Kluyveromyces lactis: one gene and its partners. The protein of the gene in region 1 purifies or fractionates together with the protein of each later gene. This does not show direct contact. Links are inferred from orthologs where the notes say so. Each region holds a gene or a part of one and is shown on either strand. Other genes may lie near its edges.

Evidence for each region.
Region 2: the proteins of SOF1 (region 1) and KRE33 purify together in Saccharomyces cerevisiae (affinity purification with mass spectrometry; 3 studies listed by BioGRID). This does not show direct contact. The link is inferred for Kluyveromyces lactis from reciprocal best matches to the Saccharomyces cerevisiae genes SOF1 and KRE33.
Region 3: the proteins of SOF1 (region 1) and NOC4 purify together in Saccharomyces cerevisiae (affinity purification with mass spectrometry; 7 studies listed by BioGRID, with this or other methods). This does not show direct contact. The link is inferred for Kluyveromyces lactis from reciprocal best matches to the Saccharomyces cerevisiae genes SOF1 and NOC4.
Region 4: the proteins of SOF1 (region 1) and ECM16 purify together in Saccharomyces cerevisiae (affinity purification with mass spectrometry; 4 studies listed by BioGRID). This does not show direct contact. The link is inferred for Kluyveromyces lactis from reciprocal best matches to the Saccharomyces cerevisiae genes SOF1 and ECM16.

The regions. Positions count from the first base shown.
Region 1 is NC_006042.1:1,438,299-1,443,564, forward strand, and holds SOF1 (rRNA-processing protein SOF1), read left to right. Parts: upstream 1-1,311; coding exon 1,312-2,748; downstream 2,749-5,266. Other genes in the region: KLLA0_F15576g (uncharacterized protein), read left to right, coding at 1-835; PSR1 (phosphatase), read right to left, coding at 3,262-4,506; POM34 (Pom34p), read left to right, coding at 5,257-5,266. UniProt on the Saccharomyces cerevisiae protein: Required for ribosomal RNA processing.
Region 2 is NC_006042.1:2,272,009-2,278,317, reverse strand, and holds the start of KRE33 (ribosome biosynthesis protein KRE33), read left to right. Parts: upstream 1-3,441; coding exon 3,442-6,309. Other genes in the region: FYV6 (Fyv6p), read right to left, coding at 1-482; transcription factor NDT80, read right to left, coding at 846-2,582. UniProt on the Saccharomyces cerevisiae protein: RNA cytidine acetyltransferase with specificity toward both 18S rRNA and tRNAs. Catalyzes the formation of N(4)-acetylcytidine (ac4C) at positions 1280 and 1773 in 18S rRNA.
Region 3 is NC_006038.1:951,461-956,899, forward strand, and holds NOC4 (ribosome biosynthesis protein NOC4), read left to right. Parts: upstream 1-2,658; coding exon 2,659-4,224; downstream 4,225-5,439. Other genes in the region: ASN1 (asparagine synthase (glutamine-hydrolyzing) 1), read right to left, coding at 1-1,375; PPT1 (protein serine/threonine phosphatase), read left to right, coding at 4,488-5,439. UniProt on the Saccharomyces cerevisiae protein: Involved in nucleolar processing of pre-18S ribosomal RNA and ribosome assembly. Has a role in the nuclear export of 40S pre-ribosomal subunit to the cytoplasm.
Region 4 is NC_006042.1:1,596,072-1,602,375, forward strand, and holds ECM16 (ATP-dependent RNA helicase ECM16), read right to left. Parts: upstream 3,826-6,304; coding exon 10-3,825; downstream 1-9. Other genes in the region: SAS2 (histone acetyltransferase), read left to right, coding at 4,190-5,149; DNA helicase RAD5, read right to left, coding at 5,216-6,304. UniProt on the Saccharomyces cerevisiae protein: Probable ATP-binding RNA helicase. Required for 18S rRNA synthesis. May play a role in restructuring of the pre-rRNA.

The DNA of each region.
Region 1 (5,266 bases):
ATATGACCTTGAAGCCCTTATTGAAAGTGTCCTCCAAAAAAAGCAAAATAAGTTTGAGAAGCTTACCTTAGTGGCCCATTCCCAGGGTACCACACAAGCTTTTATGGGACTTGTAAATGGTGAAGAGATCTACAAAAATACAGAGTTCAGATTGAGTGATAAATTAGATAATTTAGTTGCATTAGCACCTGCTGTTTATCCCGGTCCACTACTCGATGAAAAATATTTCGTTAAGTTTATGGCGAAACACATAGATAATCGCTGGGTATTCGGAAACAAATCATTTGTACCAATGATGATGGAGATGAGAAATTTGTTGGCCGGACACAAGATATTCTCATTTTTGTCTTACGTCATGTTCAACTACTTGTTCAACTGGAACGATATTTTATGGGACAGACCCTTGCGTGATAGACATTTCCTATTTTCTCCAGTGCATATATCTGTGAAATTGATGCAATGGTGGTTAAGTCTTAACCCTTTAAAGTCAAGCTTCAAGACTTTCGCCGAAGACATGTTCCCCGACATCAAGACCTGGTTCCCAATACAAAATGAAACAGTAAGTATGGATGAACATTTACACAGAAATCAACATAAACCTTTGCCAGAAAATTGGCCAAAGATTTTACTCTTCACACCCAGGCAAGATAGACTTGTAGACGGAGAAAGATTGATTAATCACTTTATCAACCACGAACCACACTCTGTCTACAAAATCTGGTATATTGATGAGTATTCACATTTGGATGTTCTATGGGCCAGTGACGTTATCGAAAGAATTGGTAACCCAATGCTTGCACATTTGAGAATTCCGAAACCGACATTTGCCAGTTAATTAATACAGATAACTTTGAATCACAGACTAGAATGGAATTTTGACACTTTGTTTCCATTTTGTGCAACCCAACATATAGATATACAGTTCTGCAATCATTACATTTTTTGTAAGATATATAATATACTAATGACACTACTTAAACGGTAAAAAAAGGGTACACAAAGATAATCCCAATACAGCTTTGGAAACTCAAGTACTCAGTGACTGTAGCAATGGCTAAATCATGTTGTTGTTATTTTAATAAGGTCTTTAACTGTCATCTTATATCGTCCTTGTATATTCGGCATAATTTCTTTTTAACAATTTTTCAAGTTATCGAAATGCAAATCTCATCTCATCTCATCGCATCATAAGCAGTGAAAGGGAATGGGAAGAGGAAACCACTGGAACTGTTTCCATATCATAGTTGCTGATTAACTAGCACAAGGTCTACCATATTTAGTGCCAACTGGGGATATTGAAAGAATAGCGAAATGAAGATCAAAACTATCAGCAGAAGTGCCGATGATTATGTGCCGGTGAAGAGCACACAAGAGTCTCAGATGCCTCGTAATTTAAATCCGGCTCTGCATCCATTCGAAAGAGCTAGAGAATATACAAAGGCTTTGAATGCCACCAAGCTTGAAAGAATGTTTGCTAAGCCATTTGTCGGTCAGCTTGGATACGGTCACAGGGATGGTGTGTACACCATTGCAAAGAATTACAATGTATTAAACAAACTTGCTACGGCTAGTGGTGACGGTGTTATCAAGTACTGGAACATGTCAACTAGAGAAGAGTTAAGTTCATTCAAGGCACATTACGGTATGGTTACTGGTCTGTGTGTTACTCCTTCATATTTATCTCCACAAAGAGAAAACTTCATGCTTTCTTGTGGTGACGATAAGACGGTGAAGCTATGGTCAGTGAATTCTGACGACTTTTCCAACGTTAAAGATGATACAAGATTGAATACAGATGAAGGTATCATCAAAACATTCCATGGTGAACATGCTTTCCAATCTTTGGATCATCATAGACAAAAATCGAATTTTGTTACTGGTGGTGCCCAAATCGAACTTTGGGATACAAACAGATCAAAGCCAATATCAAATCTTTCATGGGGTGCGGACAATATCAATCATGTTAGATTTAATCAAAATGAGGTCGACATTTTAGCAAGTACGGGTAGTGATAACTCTGTGGTTCTTTATGACCTAAGAACAAACTCTCCAACACAAAAAATTGTTCAAACCATGAGGACAAACTCTATCTGTTGGAACCCAGTGGAAGCCTTCAACTTCGTAATTGCCAATGAAGATCATAATGCTTATTACTATGATATGAGAAATATGTCCAAAGCTTTGCATGTGTTTAAAGATCATGTTAGTGCTGTTATGGATGTTGATTTTTCCCCTACTGGTGACGAAGTTGTAACAGGCTCCTATGATAAGACAATCAGAATTTACCAAGTTAAACATGGTCATTCGAGAGAAATATATCATACAAAGAGAATGCAGCATATTTTCCAAGTGAAATATACCATGGACAGTAAGTATATAGTAAGTGGTTCAGATGATGGTAACGTTAGACTATGGAGAGCCAAGGCATGGGAGAGATCTAATGCGAAGAGTACACGTGAAAAGAATAAGTTGGAATACGATGAAAAACTTAAAGAAAGATTCAAGCACATGCCAGAGGTCAGAAGAATTAGCAGGCACAGACACGTCCCTAAGGTTGTTAAGAAAGCTCAAGAGATTAAGAAGATTGAAATTGATTCTTTGAAGAGAAGGGAAAGAAACGAAAGAAAGACAAGGAAAGACATGCCATTTTTACCTGAAAGGAAGAAACAAATCGTCGGTACTGTCTTTCAATACGAGGACGACAAGAAATCTAATTCGAATAGATCCAACGATTCCGAAGATGAATAAAATATATGAATTTCTATCAGTTTTGAATTAGATATTTATAAATTTGTAACGTTAATAAGCTCGAAACATGTCTCTTTTTTCTTGAAGTTATAAATCAAGGTAGTTGATCAAGTTTTCCTTTCAATGAAAAATCGTTTTTAGCAAGGAACTATCTTTTACCGAGATTAGCAGATATCTTCTTTATAATTTGAATCATGGGTTGCATGTAACGAATTGAATCCTTTCATATTCTTTTACAGTATTAGATTAGAAGTATAGTTCCATAATAAAAGTGAGAGAAAAAGAAAAAAAAAAAAAAGAGGAAGTGAACACAAGAAGAACCAGCCTTGCTTGCCCAATATAATATGATGAGTATTATAGTACTAATGAGTCTATCAATTTGAAACTATGGCAATGAATATTAGAGAGAGGGAGAGAGAGAGAGAAGAAGATGTGGTCATGCAAAAAAAAAAAAGACCCAATATATGCAATCGTTTGCATAAACAAAGCATAAAATGAATCAGTACCAACTAATTATATTGTCACATCTAAGATTTCCCCAACATCAGGTACCCTCTCTTCAGCCAAGTCTTCCAGAAGTGGAATGATGTCAAGCAATTCATTATCGTGGGCATCTGAAAACCAGGATGAGATTGGAATGGCGTGCTGAGGATGGAATATGTAAGAAGCAGGGGAATTATCCAAGATAATCATATCTGATAGTGGTCTACCAATTTGGGAAAGATTCTTGATATAATTGCCCTCGTAGTTGTAACAGGAGTCTCTGAACAACCTATGATGAATAGTTTTGTCCTTGTCCAATATATCCAACAATGGGTCACCGTAGCGGGACACACTTGCAGTAAACACCACGACTTCGTATAGTTCAGTAATGCGTCTCAAAAATTCGTCGACACCAGGCCTTTTTATCACGTACACATTGTGAACTTGGTTATCGATTTCCACAGGAATAACAAAATCAGCAGTACGTAGATATTTGAAAGAGGAATGGACCAACGTTTCATCCAGGTCTAAGACTAGACATTTCTTACCCTTAAACATATCGGCCTTCGGCAACAACAAGGTATTGCACCCCGGTGCATGGGCCTGATCTGGCTGCAATTGAGACAAATCCAAAGGTTCCCCATCTTCGGGCTCCCCATTTGTCATTTCTACATCGCTAACGCCTTGACTATGAATGCCCTCGGAGTCATCCGCACTACTGGTATGTTCAGTCTCGTGAATCGTGGTCGTGACCTCTGCAGTTGGCTGAGTTGCAGACACTGCGGTGTCTGCAGTTGTGCCAGTACTTGTATCAGATTCAGCGTTATATACCAACAGTGTTTGCTTTTCATCCCCTTTTACATCCACATCGTCATCTTCCTCTCCAACCATGTCAACGTCAACGACATCACTATCAGTATCGTTATTACTAACAGCAGCCGTATTCTTCGACAGCGGACTCTTCTCAACAGGCGCACTTGCAACAGCCGCTACAGTTGAGCTATGCTTGTTCGCCGCATTTTTCTTTTTCAGATGCATCTTGGCTGTAGAATTGGATAACGTAGTATGAATTTCTGATTGTCTTGAATGAGTCGCAGCAACCCCTGGACGTCCACTCTTCTTTGCACTTAGCGTATTCTTGCTCTTACTTTTCTCCGAGCTTGACCCACTAGAACCTTTATTACTATTGTTACTTGACGATGAATTCCTACCCTTCTGTTTCCTAGAGCTATCCGAATCGCTTGAACCACACAATAAAGATGCAATGAATCCCATCACTTTTATTCCTAACAAAATCAACAGCGACCTATAAATAAATCGAGACACTGAGCGAGTGAGAGAAACCAAAAATCACACACTGAGCCCAAAAAAAATGGATAACCGATATTAATCAGATTGGTTTTTCAAACGGATTGATACTGTTATTAATATATGTTCTTTCTTTCTATCTAAGCAAAGAAAGATAGCAAACAAAAAAAACCTAAATACACAAACCAATCAGGCTCCCTGAAACCACTGGCCCCTTGATATAGTACCCGTACACTGACAAATCCCGGTACTTTTCAAGACTTTACTGCCCTTCTGTAAATGGCCTCCAAAAAAAATTAAGTTGCAGTTAAAATAAGAGAGTTAGTCAATGACCAATGTTCTATTCTCAAAATTGTTTAATCTGCAAAAGTTGACTGTTTCTGGTTTTTCCATGCTGAACAGAACATCAAAACTTAAAGAACGAACCAAACGAAGCAAAAAGAATTTTTTCTTTTCCCTGGCACAAGATGGTGCGGGTAACGAGATGTTTTTCACTTGAAAGAGATAGAGGCCGGCTTGAAGATTCACTTCTTAGTTTAACTACTAAAAACACAGCTAGTTCTTCAATGTTAATAAATAAGAATCGTTCAGTTTTTACCTGGATACGGTAAGTTTCATATCCTGATATTAGTGGTGTTTTTACTGTGGTAATTGATCGAGAGTTTACCCCGTAAATACAGGGATCAAGATATATAAAGGAAAAAGGTGAGAGTAGCAATGGATAATG
Region 2 (6,309 bases), about 830 kb from region 1:
GTTCTGTCAGTTTTCTTATGTTTTGGTTTACTAATCACACCTAGCGCATTCTTTGCGCCATTGGACGTTTTTAGTTTTCGTACTTTAATGGAGGTTGGAATAGGATCGTTCTTGGAAATCACCTGTTTGTTAGTGTGCTCCGGTGTAGAAGGTTGCTGCAATAATTGCAGCTGTTTCCGACGATTACGCTCCTCAGATTCAGCCCACTGCGAAAAATTTCGAAGCTTTTCCAATTCATCCAGCTTTACCTTATTGATATGATCTAAGTCATCGTTTGACACTCTCGTGAAGCTGTTCTTTTCCTTTGTCTGTCTCTGAAATTGTTGGCGTTTCTTCTTGGAATTTTCTCTCAATTGATCGCTGAGCGACTTTCTTGTAACCAATTCGCCAACTTCTCGATTGACTTGCTCGTTTCTCCTTTGGCTTTCCAAATCTCCAGAACCCTCCTTGATGAACGTTGGGGCTTTCGGGTTATCCGCCATCTGTGATTTGGGATAGTAATCTTTGGCTGTATTAACTCCGTGAGAATATGCAAAGAAAATTCTGTCTGAAACCAATTAGCTAACAAAAAATTGAATTCAAGATGTCTGACATGTTCTGGTGAACGTTCGTTTAGTTTGCCTGGCTTTATTTGTCAGCGCCTCTCTCTCTCTCTATATTGTAAAATTTATTGTTTTTTCATGGAAAAATGAGAGACGTCTGTTTTCAAGTTCGGAAATTAACGCAAGTAAGATTACCCATTCCGTCTGTCTCTCCAAAATACATCCCTCCTTGCCAGAACTGTTTGCAGCATCATTTGTCTACGCTACGGATAACAGTTGCGGTTGTTTATAAGGCGAAAGCTATTAATGACGGAAGATGCTCGGCCCATCCGACCAGTCTGCAGGGTTTAATAGATCCGAAGGGTTTCCGGAGGCTGTTAAGAGCCTTCTCGAACCAGGCAATCTTTTATGTGACGTACTAGGAGGTGGATATTCGATAAAACTTGATGAATAATCATTCAAACAGTAGGAAATTTCCATCTTGTTTGGAAGCATGGCCCTGGGAATTGCCACCGCAGGAGGCTCTGAAACATCGTAAGTCACATGCTTCAGGAGGAATACGCTTGTAGAAGATAATCGCTCTTTGTTTTCTTTCGATGGAGTCCTTTCCTCAAAAGATATTGTATTAAAGATATTTTCTGTAATGTCATCCAGCGGTTCTTCAAGGTTTGACTCCAGTACAACAGGTTTACTAATATTAAGTCTTCTCTTCTTAAAAATCGAGTCTTGTATGGGAGTGGCACTGTTACTGAAATATGCTACTGACAATGACTCAGATTGGAAACCTCTTGGAAATGAGGTCTCAGTGCTTGACGAGTGCAGTTGTATATTCTTAATTCTCATGTTACCACTAGTCGGTGATATTTCGAATGTGGACGGCAATCCATTGGTTAGAAGTGTTGGGATTCGACCAGCGCTATCGTGAGACACATTTGCAGTAGTTTTAAGATCTGGTTGCTTACTTTTTCGTCCTCGCCTTTTCCGCTCTTTCTTATCAGCTGGCACATCAAGATCGTTTTCTTGTGGGGAACCATTATCAAAATCTGATTTCTTGGTATGCATGACTTTGATTTGTTGGCAATAGTTAGAGGGAGATCTTCCTCTTATTATGAGAGGCGGCGTCTTCTCCATTAGAATTGGAACAAACGTCATGTCAGTCTCTTCATCATAATGATCCAATTCATGATAAGGTGATGACTGCTGAATACCGTCATGTCTTCCCTTCACATAGCAGCCTAAAACCACTAAAAGTGAAAACCGTCTATTTTGTTGGCTAGTTTTCTTCAAAGTTATAGAAGAGGCGAACTGTATCCTTTCATACCTTGCTACTTTTTTGATTGGATCCGATGGGTAGTTTGCCAAGACACTCCTTACTTCACATCCTGTTCCAACGTCTTCTTTATGAAGGAAAAAATAGCTATCAAATTTTTTCATCTTGGATTCGTTTCTCACGTTCGATGCATCTCTTATAATCTGGTGCTTCGGCAAATTTGCAGGTGCAATAACATGTATTGGAGGAGCAAATTGAGGGCCTTTATCTCGCTTTGCAGTGTGTTGAACTAGGTTAATCAATTTATCATCTTCCAAACACTTGGCGGCTAATTTGGTAGCGAAGTATTTGATCTCCACACCGTTATCTAAATGATACGCTTGTTTCATGAACTCGATATGATCAGTCCCCGGTGTGTCAAATGAAGTTACCACGGTGAAATAATTTCTTTTATAACCAATCCAATCGTCATCTATGAAATCAAACCCTCGATCAATCCGAGGCTCCAATTTGATTTCTTGAATCTGTCCAAAATCGTTCAATATCTTGTGATTGGGCACCACTGGCGTAAAGCCTGGGCCTATTTTGAACTGCAATGTTGACCTTGGAGCAATACGAACTTTTCTCTTGTCAAAATGACTACTTAATGACCCGTCAGCGTTCCTAAAAGTTTTGATCACGTCCCCGTCAGCATTATCAAGTGTTTCCAAAAATTCGTTCTCATCTATATTGATATTCTCATCGTTCAGATGGTCCAAATCCTCCATCATAGCAAGTTTGATCACATAAAACTATACTCTGTTCCTATTAAAAGAAAATATAGTTAGCTCTCACTCTCCTCCTGGCTATTGCTATGGAATAACCGCCGAGCTTACCTGAATGACCACGAAAAAATAAAACCAAAATAAAACCTAGGAATCGTACGTTCCGTATAAGAGATAACCACAACTGCGCTTGTTCAGGTAAAGAAACAACCTTATAATCGAACCTCGTTCTGATGTCAGTTCTTAACCTCTTATCTTATTCATCGGATCTATTTCATAAGAATATTGCCCTTATTCCTTGTGACACAAAAATACTGGTATTTATATAATGTTAGTTTTTCCCTTTTCGTCAGTCATGAAGAAAACTTTAATTAATACCCATGAAAACTACTACTGAAGTTTAAATATGAATTTAAAATATTAGTCGACATCACATAATGGTGCATTATGCACACGTAGTCATTTCTTGAAATTAGCCGCCGAAATTACACTGCGCATGAAATTCATGCGGGTAACAGTATATTTTCATCAAATAATTCCGGGTAAGTAGTATCTTTTCTTTTCTCTGCCTAATTTTTTTTTTTTTTTTTCATTGTCTTTTTACTATTTCATCGTATTAGGTAGGAATTTTATTTCGAGATGAGATGAGATCAAATGAGATGAGGTGGTTTGCTGAGAAGCTATCTGAGTATTACGAGACGTTTATTTCTCCCCAAAATACCTGATTACTGTACTTCGTTACTACAAAAAAAATCATTAAAAACACTAACTCTTCCCAACGGTCGAACTTCCAGCGAAACGTAACTGTCATTGTTTGTTGTTAAAGAGTGTGTTCTTAAAACTTTAAACCAGAAGTTAGATTACGATGGGTAAAAAAGCTATTGATTCTCGTATCCCAGCTCTCATCAGAAATGGTGTTCAAACAAATCAGAGATCATTTTTCGTTATCGTTGGTGACAATGCTCGTAACCAGCTACCGAACTTGCACTATTTAATGATGAGTGCTGACCTCAAAATGAATAAATCCGTGTTATGGACGTATAAGAAGAAACTCTTGGGTTTCACTTCACACAGGAAGAAGAGAGAAGCAAAGATTAAGAAAGAGATCAAGAGAGGTACCAGAGAGATAAATGAACAAGATCCTTTTGAAACTTTCATCTCTAACCAAAACATTCGATACTGTTATTATAAGGAAACTGAAAAAATTTTGGGTAACACTTATGGTATGTGTATCCTACAAGATTTTGAAGCTTTGACTCCAAATTTGCTAGCAAGAACCATCGAAACCGTTGAAGGTGGTGGTATCATTGTTATCATGTTAAAGTCCATTTCCTCTCTAAAACAGTTATACACTATGACTATGGATATCCACTCTCGTTATAGAACGGAAGCTCATGACGATGTCGTGGCAAGATTCAACGAAAGATTTATCTTGTCCTTGGGTTCGAATGAAAACTGTTTGGTAGTAGATAGTGAGTTAAACGTTTTACCTATATCTGGAGGAAAAAACGTAAAACCACTTCCACCAAAGGATGATGAAGAAATTTCACCAAAAAATCAAGAACTAAAAGAATTGAAAGTGTCTTTAGAAGATGTTCAGCCTGCGGGATCATTAGTTGCTCTTTCAAAAACGGTTAATCAAGCTCATGCAATCTTGACCTTCATTGATGCCATTTCAGAGAAAACTTTAAATTCAACTGTAGCATTGACGGCAGGTAGAGGTAGAGGTAAATCAGCTGCTCTAGGTATTTCTATTGCTGCTGCTGTATCCCATGGTTACTCCAATATCTTTGTAACATCTCCTTCCCCTGAGAATTTGAAGACTTTATTTGAGTTTATTTTCAAAGGATTTGACGCTCTAGGCTATCAGGAGCACATTGATTATGATATCATTCAGTCCACCAATCCAAGCTTCAACAAAGCCATAGTCAGAGTAGACATCAAGAGAGAACATAGACAGACCATTCAATATATTATTCCAAATGATTCTCATGTGTTGGGACAGGCAGAACTTGTTGTCATTGATGAAGCTGCCGCAATTCCACTACCACTTGTAAAGAAGCTTTTGGGTCCGTACTTAGTGTTTATGGCATCCACTATTAACGGTTATGAAGGTACCGGTAGATCTTTGTCTTTGAAATTGATTCAACAGCTAAGAACTCAATCCAACGGTACTGGCCGTGAAGATTCCGAAACAGCACTTGTTTCCAGAGATTCAAAGAAACAAGAAGTTCAAACAAGTGGCCGTTCTTTGAGAGAAGTTGTCTTAGATGAACCTATCAGATACGCTCCTGGTGACCCAGTTGAAAAATGGTTGAATAAATTACTTTGTTTGGACGTTCAACTAATCAAAAATCCAAGATTTGCTGCTAGAGGCACACCTCATCCATCTCAATGTAATTTATTCATCGTCAATAGAGATACTCTATTTTCTTATCATCCTGTTTCTGAAAATTTTCTGGAGAAGATGATGGCTCTTTATGTCGCATCGCATTACAAGAATTCTCCTAACGACTTGCAATTAATGAGTGATGCACCTGCTCATCAACTATTCGTTTTATTGCCTCCCATCGATCCAAAAGATGGCGGCAGAATACCTGATCCCTTAGTGGTCATCCAGGTCGCATTGGAAGGTGAGATCTCGAAGGATTCTGTCAGAAATTCTTTGGCAAGAGGTCAAAGAGCTGGTGGTGACTTAATTCCATGGCTAATCTCACAGCAATTTCAAGATGAAGAATTTGCCGGTTTGAGTGGTGCCCGTGTTGTTAGGATTGCAACCAATCCGGAATACGCCTCTATGGGTTATGGGTCTAGGGCTCTGGAGTTATTGAAAGATCATTTCGAAGGTAAATTCACCGATTTGAATGAAGATACGGTACAAAAGGACTACACAATCAAGAGAGTCGATGACAGGGATTTGAAGAAAGCAGACCTCTTGAAAGATGAAATCAAATTAAGGGATGCAAAGACGTTGCCACCATTGCTTCTGAAACTCTCAGAACAAACCCCTCACTTTTTGCATTACTTAGGTGTTTCATATGGTTTAACAAAATCTTTACATAAGTTCTGGAAAAACAACGGATTTGTCCCAGTTTACTTACGTCAAACAGCGAATGATTTGACTGGTGAACATACATGTGTTATGGTTAAAGTTCTTGAAGGTCGTGAATCAAAATGGCTGGCAGAATTTGCCAAAGATTTCCATAAAAGATTCTTGTCTTTATTATCGTTCGACTTTAAGAAATTCACTGCCATCGAAGCGTTAAATGTCATTGAATCTGCTAAGAAGGGTGAAACACTAGACCAAGACTCGGAGGGCAGATCGTTCCAGAATAAGGTTTTAACAAGGGACCAATTGGATTCCATCTTTTCTCCATTCGATCTAAAGAGGTTAGAAAGCTATGCTAACAACTTACTGGATTATCATGTCATTGTTGATCTTCTACCAATGATGGCATTGCTATACTTTAGTGGAAAGCTGGGTGACGGTGTATCATTATCAAGCGTACAATCGTGTATACTACTTGCAATTGGTTTGCAACACAAGGGCATTGATGACATAACGAAAGAGTTGAACTTACCATCCAATCAAACTATTGCCATGTTCTCCAAGATTATCAGGAAATTCACCAATTTCTTCAGGGAAGTTTTAAGCGAGTCTATTGAAAAAACCTTACCTCAAATCAAGGACCAAGAAATTGCCGAAATGAATGGCGAAGAAGTGTTGTCTTAC
Region 3 (5,439 bases), on another chromosome or scaffold:
CGAATGCCTTTCTTAGAATGTATTTTTCGATCTTACCTTCAGCTGGTTTGATCATCTTGTCGTTTGGATCAATGTTCATACATAGTTGTAGGAAGTCCCTGTCCAAGAATGGAACACGAGCTTCTAGACCCCAAGCCATGGTAGATTTGTTAGCACGCAAACAATCAGCCAAGTGCAAGTTCTTAACTCTCTTGACAGATTCGACGTGGAATTCAGCAGCTGATGGAGCTTGTGCGAAGTATAGATAACCACCAAAGATTTCATCGGAACCTTCACCGGACAAAACCATCTTAACACCTTGAGCCTTGATCTTACGAGAAAGCAAGAACATTGGGGTGGAAGCACGGATAGTAGTGACATCGTAAGTTTCTAAGTGGTAGATAACATCGTCCAAAGCGTCTAGACCTTCCTGTAAAGTGAAAGTATGTTCGTGATGGATAGAACCGATGAATGTAGCCACCTTACGAGCAGCTTGTAAATCTGGAGCGTTTGGCAAACCAACAGCGAATGAGTGCAATCTAGACCAGCCAGCAGCATGTAGATGACCTTGTTCGTCAAGCCCAGCCAATTGATGTGGGTCACTGTCATAAACAACTGGATCAAGTTCGGCATTAGTTTTTTCTGTTTCTCTTGCGGCAATAGCAGCAATCAAAGAGGAATCCAAACCACCGGACAATAGAACACCGTAAGGAACTTCAGCCATTAATCTCTTTCTAACAGCCTTTTCCAAACTTTCTCTAACAGCCTTAAAGTCAACTGGGGTGGTTGGAATTCTGGATTCGTCCAACCAGTCAGGAGTGAAATATCTGGTCAATTTGTCAGTTTCAGAGTCGTATACGTGACCTGGTGGGAAAGCAATGATTTCATCACAGTCATCGGTCAAACATTTCAGTTCACTGGAGAACCAAACAGACTTTGGAGAAGCAGAGGATCTACCCATGTAAAGAGTGGTAATACCGATTGGGTCTCTGGCAGCGATGATACGATCCTTCTTAGAATCGTACAAACACCAAGCGAACATACCATCCAAGTGTTTTGGAGCATCGATATCGTACTTTTCGTATAATGGAATGATAGGTTCACAGTCAGACAAAGTCTTGAATGGATAGCTTGCACATTCTTCTCTCAACATGATATGGTTGTAAATTTCACCATTGACGGCCAAAGTGTAAGAACCATCTTCGGAAGTGATTGGTTGGGCACCAGAGTCCAATCCGACAATAGCCAATCTTTCGTGAACTAGAATAGTAGAGTTCTTAACAATGTTACCTGACCAATCTGGACCACGGTGTCTGATTCTCTTGGATAATTGTAAAGCTTTTGGTTTGTAAGCCTGAACATCAGGGTTTCTGAATGAAGCAAATATACCACACATCTTGGGTCCTGTTACTTCGTTATTCTGTATATCTAATTGATAAGAGCGAGTAAAAAACCAATACTAATACAAAACAAAGATCCTAACATAAACATATAAACAATTCTTATTACAAGCGAGCATTAGTTTTCTTGTGATGAGCATCAATTCTTTATACTTTTTCCAAAATTTTTCACCAGAGCTTGAATCGCCGTATTCTTTTTTCTTTCGAGATATTGAAAATGACTCAGTATCAATTGCATATCAAAAGAATATGACAAAGCAGCAGAGAAACGAAAAGTAACGAAGTGAAAATGAAAATTGGTGCCAGATTCTAACTCTGATTCATAGTTGATTCATTTGTTCCCGCTCCGACTTGTCATATTCACGATACCATCGTATCACGGCATTTTTTTCTATCTAATATTTACGTTTACGTTTACAGTTAGTTTAGTTTTTGAAATGAATCGCACAAGGCGATTCATATTAGCAAGAAGCAAGACTCAAACACACAAACTCACATCAAGTCTATACATGGGATGACCTTCCCAAAAAGAATCAGAATTTTATAAAAAGTGTCCCAAATCATTCAAAGAATGTAACAAGATTATAAGGCTTGCGAGGGCACCACATTCTCCATTAAAACCATGAACAGAAAATAATTCCCATCCACGAAAGAATTGTAAGAATTAAAAAAGCGCAAATAGTATCATCGTCTTCTTTTAAAACTTGGAAGGTCATGTGGATTTAAGCCCAAAAAGAGTAATACAAGTAAAGCCTATCAAAGTTACATCTCTTCTACATCACCAATTGTGTCTTGTAATTTCTTGGTTCATAAATCTTTCTCTTATATATGATGAAATTCGGGCTAGATCATTTTATACTAATCGTTGAAATTTGTATGCTGTTAGGGCTCATAGGCTGCCGTGAACTGGAGGATACGCACCCCCTGAAGGAACGAGCATCAGTGTGCGTATTCAAGGTGATGCAGGCAAGACTTGACTGACAACAGAATGGTTTACCACTCTAAATTATATATTTAATGTCGCCATTGATAGCTAGTTTATTAGGAAATGCGATCACGTGATAAGAATAATTTCTTTTCAATTGTCTTCTACATTGCAAGAATCTCTGAAAAATTTGGAATCAAGAGATGAGATGAGATGAGATGAGATGAGATGAAGTCGAATAGGAAACGTTAAGGTAGGATATTCTCACCGTTATAATCTGTTTGATTACTCGCAATAAATAATTGGAATTCACATATAAAAGTTTCCCAAGGATTCAGACAGCGATTAACCAAGATGCTCTCGAAGGAAGAGATTAAGCAAGTTTGGAAGTCTATTAGCACCGGCAATGATAGAAAACATTACAACTCGTTGGTGAACCTAATCCATGGGTACAATGAACTTCTAAAGGAAAACGAATTGTTGCACAATTTGGAAGATGATTACCGTTATATGACCATTGCTTTGAGTCAGATTTTCATCAAACTTTTTGAGCGTGGTCAATTGATGCCTCATCTTGCATCCAATGCCAATGAAAAGAAATTCTTTGAATGGTGTAAGAAACTATATTTAAATTATAAGGTTAAGTTATTGGCTATCATTACATCTTTGCATGAAGTTAACTCGTTGAGTTTAGATTGTTTGGACTCATATATGAAAATGCTTCACCATGAATCGATATATTGGGCTTCGAAACCAAATAGTCCTTTCTTTCCAAATAAGACTTTAAGATCGTTACTAGTGGCTCTTTTCCATTGTAACTTTGAAGGTGATATCGGTTTCAAAGATGGTCAGAGCGAGAATCCCGTGTTTAATCTATTTGTGGAAGCCTATTATAAGAAGAATTTCGATATTCAATTCTACACACAATCAGAACTGATATCGTTGTTACCAGAACTTGATGGCCAAACATCTGACGAAATTTTGATGTCTAAATGGTTGGCTTTATGCAACAACGATGTTCAGGGATCACCAGACTTGGAAATATTCGTATCTGTGCCCCCACAAGCCATCGAGAATGATGCTAAGTTTAAATCCAACCTCGAAACAAATTGGTTGCACTGTCTAAATTTAGCCAACTTATCCAGTAGCCAATATAAAACTGTGCTTTTAGTGCTACACAAGAGAATTATAGTATGGTTCCATCAACCAACAAAGCTTATGGATTTCCTTACCGACTCTTACAACCAAGGTGGTATCGTTTCAATCCTTTCATTAAATGGTTTGTTTGAACTTATGAAAAAATACAACCTAGAATATCCAAATTTCTACTCAAAACTATATCAGCTTCTAACTCCAGAAGTAATGCACGTTAAGTACAGATCAAGATTTTTCAGATTAGTGGACACCTTTCTATCTTCTACACATTTATCCGCACAACTGGTAGCGTCATTCATCAAACGTTTGGCACGTTTATCCGTATCGGCACCACCAGGTGCTATTGTTTCTATAATACCATTCGTGTACAATCTAATCAGAAAGCATCCTACATGTATGATTCTATTACACGATCCAGAATACATCGACTGCGATTCAAAGAAAAGGCAAGAATATCTAGATCCATTCAACAATGAAGAAACCAATCCAGAACTTACAAATGCTCTTTCCTCCTCAGTATGGGAGCTAGAAACGCTAATGAATCACTACCATCCAAACGTAGCCACTTTAGCGAAGATTTTCCAACAACCTTTCCAAAAGTTAAGCTACAACATCGAAGATTTCTTAGATTGGTCTTACGATTCACTTTTGCAAGCAGAAACCAATAGAAAGCTGAAGATCCAACCTGCTCTTGAATTCGAAAGGTTTGAAACAATTTTCGAATCAGGTTCTGATTCAGCATTCCTACCCTTCATAAAATGGTAAATACATAATTTCAAGTAGAAAACTTAAGTAGTTCAATTCCAAATTGAGTACTTTCTTTCACTTTCGCAAATCTCTTCACATTACATCTCATCACATCGCCGTAATATTGAAACATCGAGATGAAAAAAATCAACAAGTCAACATCAAGAAGAGAAAGACTCACATCAGAAAAAACTTTAAAATGGGCTCCGTTTATCGGTCTTGAGGACTTAAAGGCACATACCATACCAGTTGGCTGCTTTTTTACCACTACTATTGAATAAATGACTGAGGAAGTGAAAGCCTGTAATCCAGAGAAAGCCTTAGAGCTGAAGAATGAAGGTAACAAGTTCGTGAAGGAGAAACTGTACGCAAAGGCAGCTGAGTATTATACAAAAGCCATCGAGCATGATCCCGAGAATACGATCCTATATTCAAACCGTGCGTTCACCAACCTAAAGTTGGATAACTTCCAAAGTTCTTTAGACGATGCTAAACGTGCAATTGAATTGGATAATAACAATTTGAAAGCCTATCACCGCAGAGCTATGTCTTACATTGGGCTACTAGAGTTTAGAAAGGCAAGGAAGGACTTGATCATTGTGTTGAAATTCAAGCCTAACGAGCTCACTGCAAAAAATGCATTAGCAATCTGTGATAAAGTCATACAGAAGGAGAATTTTGAAAAAGCTATTAGCGGTGGAGACTCTTCTAAAGTTGATTTATGTCAAACTTTAAATATCAGCTCATTCGATGCAAATGCCGATCTCCTCAAATATGATGGTAAAACCTTGGAATTCGAACAAGTGAAGTCAGATTCTGGGGCCAATGCTGGTGTCAGAGTTAACAATATGAACCAGGAATTCATTTCTTATATGATTAATGAGATTTTCCTAGAAGGTAAAAAGCTTCCAAAGGCTTACGTTGCAGCGATCATTTCTCATGCAGACTATTTGTTCAAGCAAGAAAACAGTGTTGTTGAACTTGATAACAGAGAAAAGCCGGATACAAGAATTTCTGTATGTGGTGACACGCATGGTCAATTTTATGATGTTCTGAACATCTTCAAAAGTTATGGGAAAGTAGGCGGCTCCAATGTATATTTATTCAATGGTGATTTCGTAGACCGTGGATCATGGTCTTGTGAAGTGGCCATTTTATTCTATTCTTTGAAAATCGTGTATCCACAGAACATTTACTTGAACAGAGGTAATCATGAAACCAACAGCATGAATA
Region 4 (6,304 bases), about 160 kb from region 1:
GGTGTAGTTCTAGGGTCTTTTCGAAGCTTGATAGTTTTTAAATGCTTTTGGAGTAAGGAATTTCTTGACCGTCCATACACCTTTCTCTTTCTCTTGATGAACAGGGATAGGATTGAGTTCCCAACCAATCTTGATGTCGCTATCATTGCAAGATCCAAATCTAGGAACAACATAGCAGAATCTTTCTGTTGGCGATAAATCAATAGGTTTCAAACCTTGTCCAGTGATTGGTTTTCCGTAAGTGAGTAACGAGCCCTTTCTTGCAACGTTAGCCAATGGCGTGCTTTTAATGTCACAAAGAGACTTCATCCTTGTTTTCGCCTTTTCATTATTTTTATTGACATGTAGTGATTGGAAAACCAAGTATTTCGGAGGTTGCTCGCCAGAATTGTTGAGAATTGAGGTTGGATGAATATAAACAAAGATATCATCCAAAGAAGATGTTTTCTCAGCAAGGACTGGAACATAAGGGATATTGAAAATGTTGGTTTTGTTGATAGTAACGTCTTCCGGGAATAACTGGTCTGCGCGAACGGCCACCTGGTCGATAAATCCTGCTGTGATCATTTGCTTGAGTAATTTGATTTGAACATCGGTGGGGATCGAGCTCTTCAAGTCTTCGTCTTTAACATTTACAGCTACATTTTCTCTCGAAGTAACTGACCTGATGATGAACATCACCTGCTTTCTCAACTTCATAATCTCCTCTACGGTTTTTGCCCTTAAGAAATTTTTTTCCATGAAAGAACTGTGCTGATCCTTTGGAATGAAATCCAACGCAGATACTGCACTTAAAAGACGGAAAACATCACTGAATTTATCAAGCTTACTAAATCTAATTTTGCTTTTAACATACTTGGAGCGCAATAGCCTTTTTCTTTCCTCAGCTTCGTGATCAGGATAGTCATCTAATTGTCCTTCATCTTGTGTCTTGGGCACAGTATCCATGATACCAAGCTCTTGTTCAGATAAAAACGGCTCACCTACTGAAAGGGCACTGACAATGGTAACAACATATTTCAAACAGTCGCTTTCATTACCAACAAGCAGCATTTTAGAAAATCTTGGACTTAGCGGAAACAAACTCATTGCTTTACCATCATCAGTGATTCTTTCATTACTGTCGAGTGCACCTAGGTGTTGTAAGAGCTTTATTGACTTCATCAAAGCTGGTCTTTCGGGTGGGGTAGGGAATGGAAAATTCACAATATTATGAACAGCCATGCTCTTCATTTGCAAAACTATACTCTCCACAGGCATTCTTAAAATTTCAGGCTTAGAAAACTGCTCAAAATCTCTTTCGAAAACTGCAGAGGAGTATAAACGATAACAATGACCAGGCCCTGTACGCCCTGCTCTACCACTTCTTTGGCCAGCAGAAGCTTTGCTAATCCAGTCAATTTCGAAACTCTGAACACCATTATTTTCATCAAACTTTCTTTCCTTTGATCTACCACAATCAACGACGTATCTTACTCCCGGTATGGTCAATGATGTTTCTGCCACATTAGTAGCAACAACACATAATCTGGAGTTTGGTGGGGGATCAAGGAAGACCTTCATTTGCTCTTTGGTGGGCAATAGCGAGTAAAGAGGAAGAACATATAGTGGATCTCTATCCGTCTGACCTTCTTCAAGTGTTTCTTCAAAACCTTCTTCTTCGTCCTCTTCTTTGTCCTCAATATCTTCCTCATCAGAGAGTAAACAATCGTCAAATTCTTGTTCCTCTCTAACTCTGACACTGAAGTCGATATCTTCAGCTTCTACATCTGCAGTTTTGGCATCTATTTTCACTGTAGGTATGTGGTCATTTTGAATGAGAGTTTGATGTTTCTTGGGGAAAGGAAACTCTTTTCTTAACCTTTTTACCATGTGCGTGATCTCTTGCTGTCCTGTCATAAAAACCAAGATAGCACCAGGAGGCAACCTTTGATGTATTTTACACGTCTTCCTGAAAGCCTCTTCAGCATAGTTATAAGCTGTTCTACGATTGAAATGTACAGCCACTGGATACTGCCTGGCGTCGACCTTTAAGACAGGTGGAGAAACAGGGAATAAAGTAGGGTTTTCACTAAAATCTGATACTCTCAAGGTGGCAGACATGATAATTAGTTTAAGTTTTTTGTACTTAGCCGGATCAGTTGCATGCTCCTTAGCACGTAAGCTGACACAACGACTTAACATACCAATCAAAATATCTGTATTGATGTTCCTCTCGTGAGCTTCATCGATAATGATAGAAGAGTATTTAGAAAGTCTAAAATCGTTCATCATCTCTCTTAGCAAAACACCATCAGTCATAAATTTCATTCTTGTTTTATCCTTGGTAGAAGAATCGAACCGAATTTGGTATCCTACATATTCGCCATGATCACCCATCTCATTAGTAACACGTCCAGCCATAGAGACAGCGGCCACTCTTCTAGGTTGTGTTATTCCAATCATCCCAGGCGTGTCAGTTGAGGACGAATTACCATATCCTGCCTCGTAAAGAAACTGCGGTACCTGTGTCGTTTTACCTGAACCAGTTTCACCACAAATGATTACAACGTCATTATGATGGATAGCTTCCATAATTCTATGTTCCTCGGCGAAAACAGGTAGTGCGCTTCTCACAGCTTGAACAGCATCAGATCTCCGTACCTTGACATAAAAAGCCTTACGTGTTGAATTTTCGTTCACATTAAATTCATCTGCTTTGAGTCCATCTTCAAAGTCTTCAGGTCTCTCGGTCCTATCGACCTTGATGTTGGAGGAAGGCATAACCATTTCTACATCTCTACCTTCAAGCTTTTTAATTTCCTGATTTGCCCACTCTTTAAATTCTTGGGCAACTGAAGAACTTACGTTTCTGCACTGCGCTATTTCTGAATCCGATCTTTCCTCGCCGTCAGACTCACTCGACTCATCATCGCTGTGACTATCAGCATTACTATTAGATTCACTCTCATCAGGTTCACTTTCTGCAGTGGATGAATGTTCTTCTGATTCACTTTCGTCAGATTCAAAATCCTGATCATCATCCAGTTTACGCCTTCTACGTTCTTCTTGCTCTACCTTTTGCTTCCAGTTATACCTTTTCTTCGAGGCCCTTTTATTCACCACCTTTGCATTACCGAATCCAAAACCAAAACCTGACCCACCAAATTTACTGGGTCTATTATCAATAAATCCCCCAGTATTTGCCGAAATAGGGTGATCTGAACTGGTATGGTCCGTTTCATCACTATCCGAATTGCAATTTTCAGCTGTGCTTTCCTGACTGGGCCTAGTTTCTGGATGATCTTGATACCAATCCCTTACCTCAGTTTCATCGTAAAGAATTTCCCTGGTAGTTTCATCACCACGTCCATTTCTTTCTAATTTGAGGGCTTCTTCAATCCCTTGCCTCTTAGTTTGCCTTCCTTGTCCCAAAATCTTAGAACTTGTCAAAAGCTTAGTATCAATTTTATAGTCCTGAAGTTTTTCTATCAAAACTTTTTTCTCCTCTCTTTTCAATTGATGCTCGATGAACTTCTCTAACCTTTTTTTCTTCGTCCTAGAGACCTTCGTTTCCTTAGGTGTGAATAGCTCTTCCAATTTACGCTTTTTCTCTTGTTTCTCTTCCTCCGTCATGGGTTTCAATACAGCAGCGTTCGTATCTTCCTGATGATCGGGTGATTCATGATGTTCATCTTCAGATGAATTACCTTCTTCAGAATCAGCATCGGAAGAATTTTCAAGTGCACGGGTGAACTGCCTATTCCTTACTCTCTTCAACTCCTTCAACTTAGACATCTGACCCGCGCGTGCTTTCTCATTCCAGCGCTTCCTATAGGTACCCATGTTTGTTGTTCAATTTTTTGACCGTTTAACGTGCGAGGTACTTCTCTTGACTGTTAATGTCACAGAGGCCTATAACATTCAGACTACCAGCCTGTTATCAACGAGATTTTGATATATAGATGCAGGTGAGCTTGGATGCGATGAGATGCGATGAGCTTTAAAGCTTTTTCTGCCATAAAGGAAGATGAAAAAAAAAAAAAGAAAGTCGCTTTCAACGTTTTGATAATTCAAAGATATAGGCAATCTTTTGTACATTTAAGTTCAAAGAGCAGTTGATTCCACCGTTAATTGGGTTTTCAAGTACTCATTAAATTTGGGAAACGTGATAAATCGCATTTTTTGCCTCTTTTCAAATCATTAATGAATGGTTCCCAAACCTGATAAGCACAACAGCTCAACAGAGGATGAAGAAATATATGGTATTCTTGACAAGCCTAATATTAGGCACGTCCAATTTGGCTTGAATAAAAGATTTGCAACTTGGTACGGGAGTAATGTTTATTTTGGAAGAAATAAGAGGACCTTGGGCTTCAAGGAATCGAACAATGAGCACACCGCAAAACAAAGCCCTACTGAAAAGAAGTTTGAAGATCAGTATTGGATTGATACCCTATACGTATGTGAATATTGTTTCAAGTACACTGATGATGAAGCAGAGTTAATCGCACATGAGTGCTTTTGCCGATATAAGAATAAGCCACCCGGTAGAATAAAATACAGAAGCCCCGAATACACTATACGAAGGGTAAAAGGTTCTAAGCATGAAGTTTTCTGCCAATGCTTATGTCTATTTACTAAGCTATTTCTTGATAACAAGTCTGTCTACTTCAAAGTTAAGCATTTCGAATTCTATATTGTGTATGAGAACAATTCTACAGTACCGATGGCATTTTTTTCAAAAGACTTATATTCCTACCACCAAAATAACCTTGCATGTATTCTTGTCTTTCCGCCCTATCAAAGAAGAAGATTGGGTACTCTCTTGATTGAGTTTTCCTACACTTTATCAAGATGTCAGGGTCTGATTTCGGGTCCTGAAGTTCCTCTATCTCCTTTCGGTTTAATTGGCTATCTTAAATTTTGGTCTTTCTCAATAGTTTGGCAGTTGACTGAAGGTAATTTGAAAGATGTGGCCCAGGTCACTTTGAAGGATCTTTCCGAGGCCACTGGTTTTAGAATCAATGATATAATTCAAGCTCTCAAATATCTTGATTGTTTAAGTGATTCTGAAATAAGACTCAATATCATCCGTTCATGGGCAAGACGCAACAAGGTATCCCATGGATTTATGATCAAAGATGAATATCTACTACTTGATGATTAACGAATTAAATAACAGCTTAAATGCAAAGCCCTAAAAGGCTTCTATATGATTGAATGTCATGATAGTCTATTGAAACAACATTTGGATTTCCTCGATCCTCTTCTGTCTCCTTTCTGCCTCATCACCCTCAACAATATCCCCTAACATTCTCTTTCTTTCCTGTATTCTTAACATTTTCTCTTCTACACTATTATCGATAATGAACCGGACAACTTTGACAGTTTGCTGCTGACCAATACGATGTATTCTATCAATCGCTTGATCTTCCATACCTGGAGACCACCATGGGTCCATCATAAACGCTCTTGATGCACAAGTCAAATTTAATCCCACACCTCCAGTTTTCAACGACAAAAGTAATAACTTTATACAACTCAAATCCTTATCGTGGAACTGTTCCAAGATTCTAGTCCGTTCCTTCATATCTAACCGTCCGTCGAATTTGTAAATAATTACCTGATCTCTTGGCAAATGCGAACGTAGCTCTATTTCTAGAATGTCTAGGAATGATGAGAACTGAGAAAATACGATTATTTGTTCACCAGGAGAAGTTTCTTGTATTTGCTTGAGATGCCTCAATAAAGCTTTAATTTTAGTCGATTGGAAATGTGAATGAAACGAAATTAGTTCATATCCTCTTTCAGCATCAATTGGCTCCTTTAGCTTTAACACATTAGCTTCTGAGATCGGCATTCTACAATATGGACAGTTGATGGATAGTTTTTTATTTTGCTGAAATTCAATGTATTCTGCCAAACAAGGTTCACAAAATGTGTGGAGACACTCTGTTATAGAGACCGCAGACAGCGGTTCAATACACTCAGTGGTGCAAATAGCACATTCAAAAGAAGGTAATTGCTCTGAAGCGCTGTGAATATCACGAAAGTTCGCACTTAAAGCATCCAATTTATCTTGAGAAATGGAACTTTTTGGTGACTTAATATTTTTTGGCATGAGGATGGAGGAGATGTTTTGAGTTGAGTTCTCCAGATCTTCAAGATCTGGGTCTCCGAGATCTGGTGTCTTTTTGAGTAAATCCAAATGACAGCAGACTTGTCTAAGTCTTAAAATATGGACCAAGATATTAGTGTAGTTCTTCAATAGATCACCTTTGGCCAACCCTTCTTTAACAGAGTTTTCCGCATCTTCTAACAT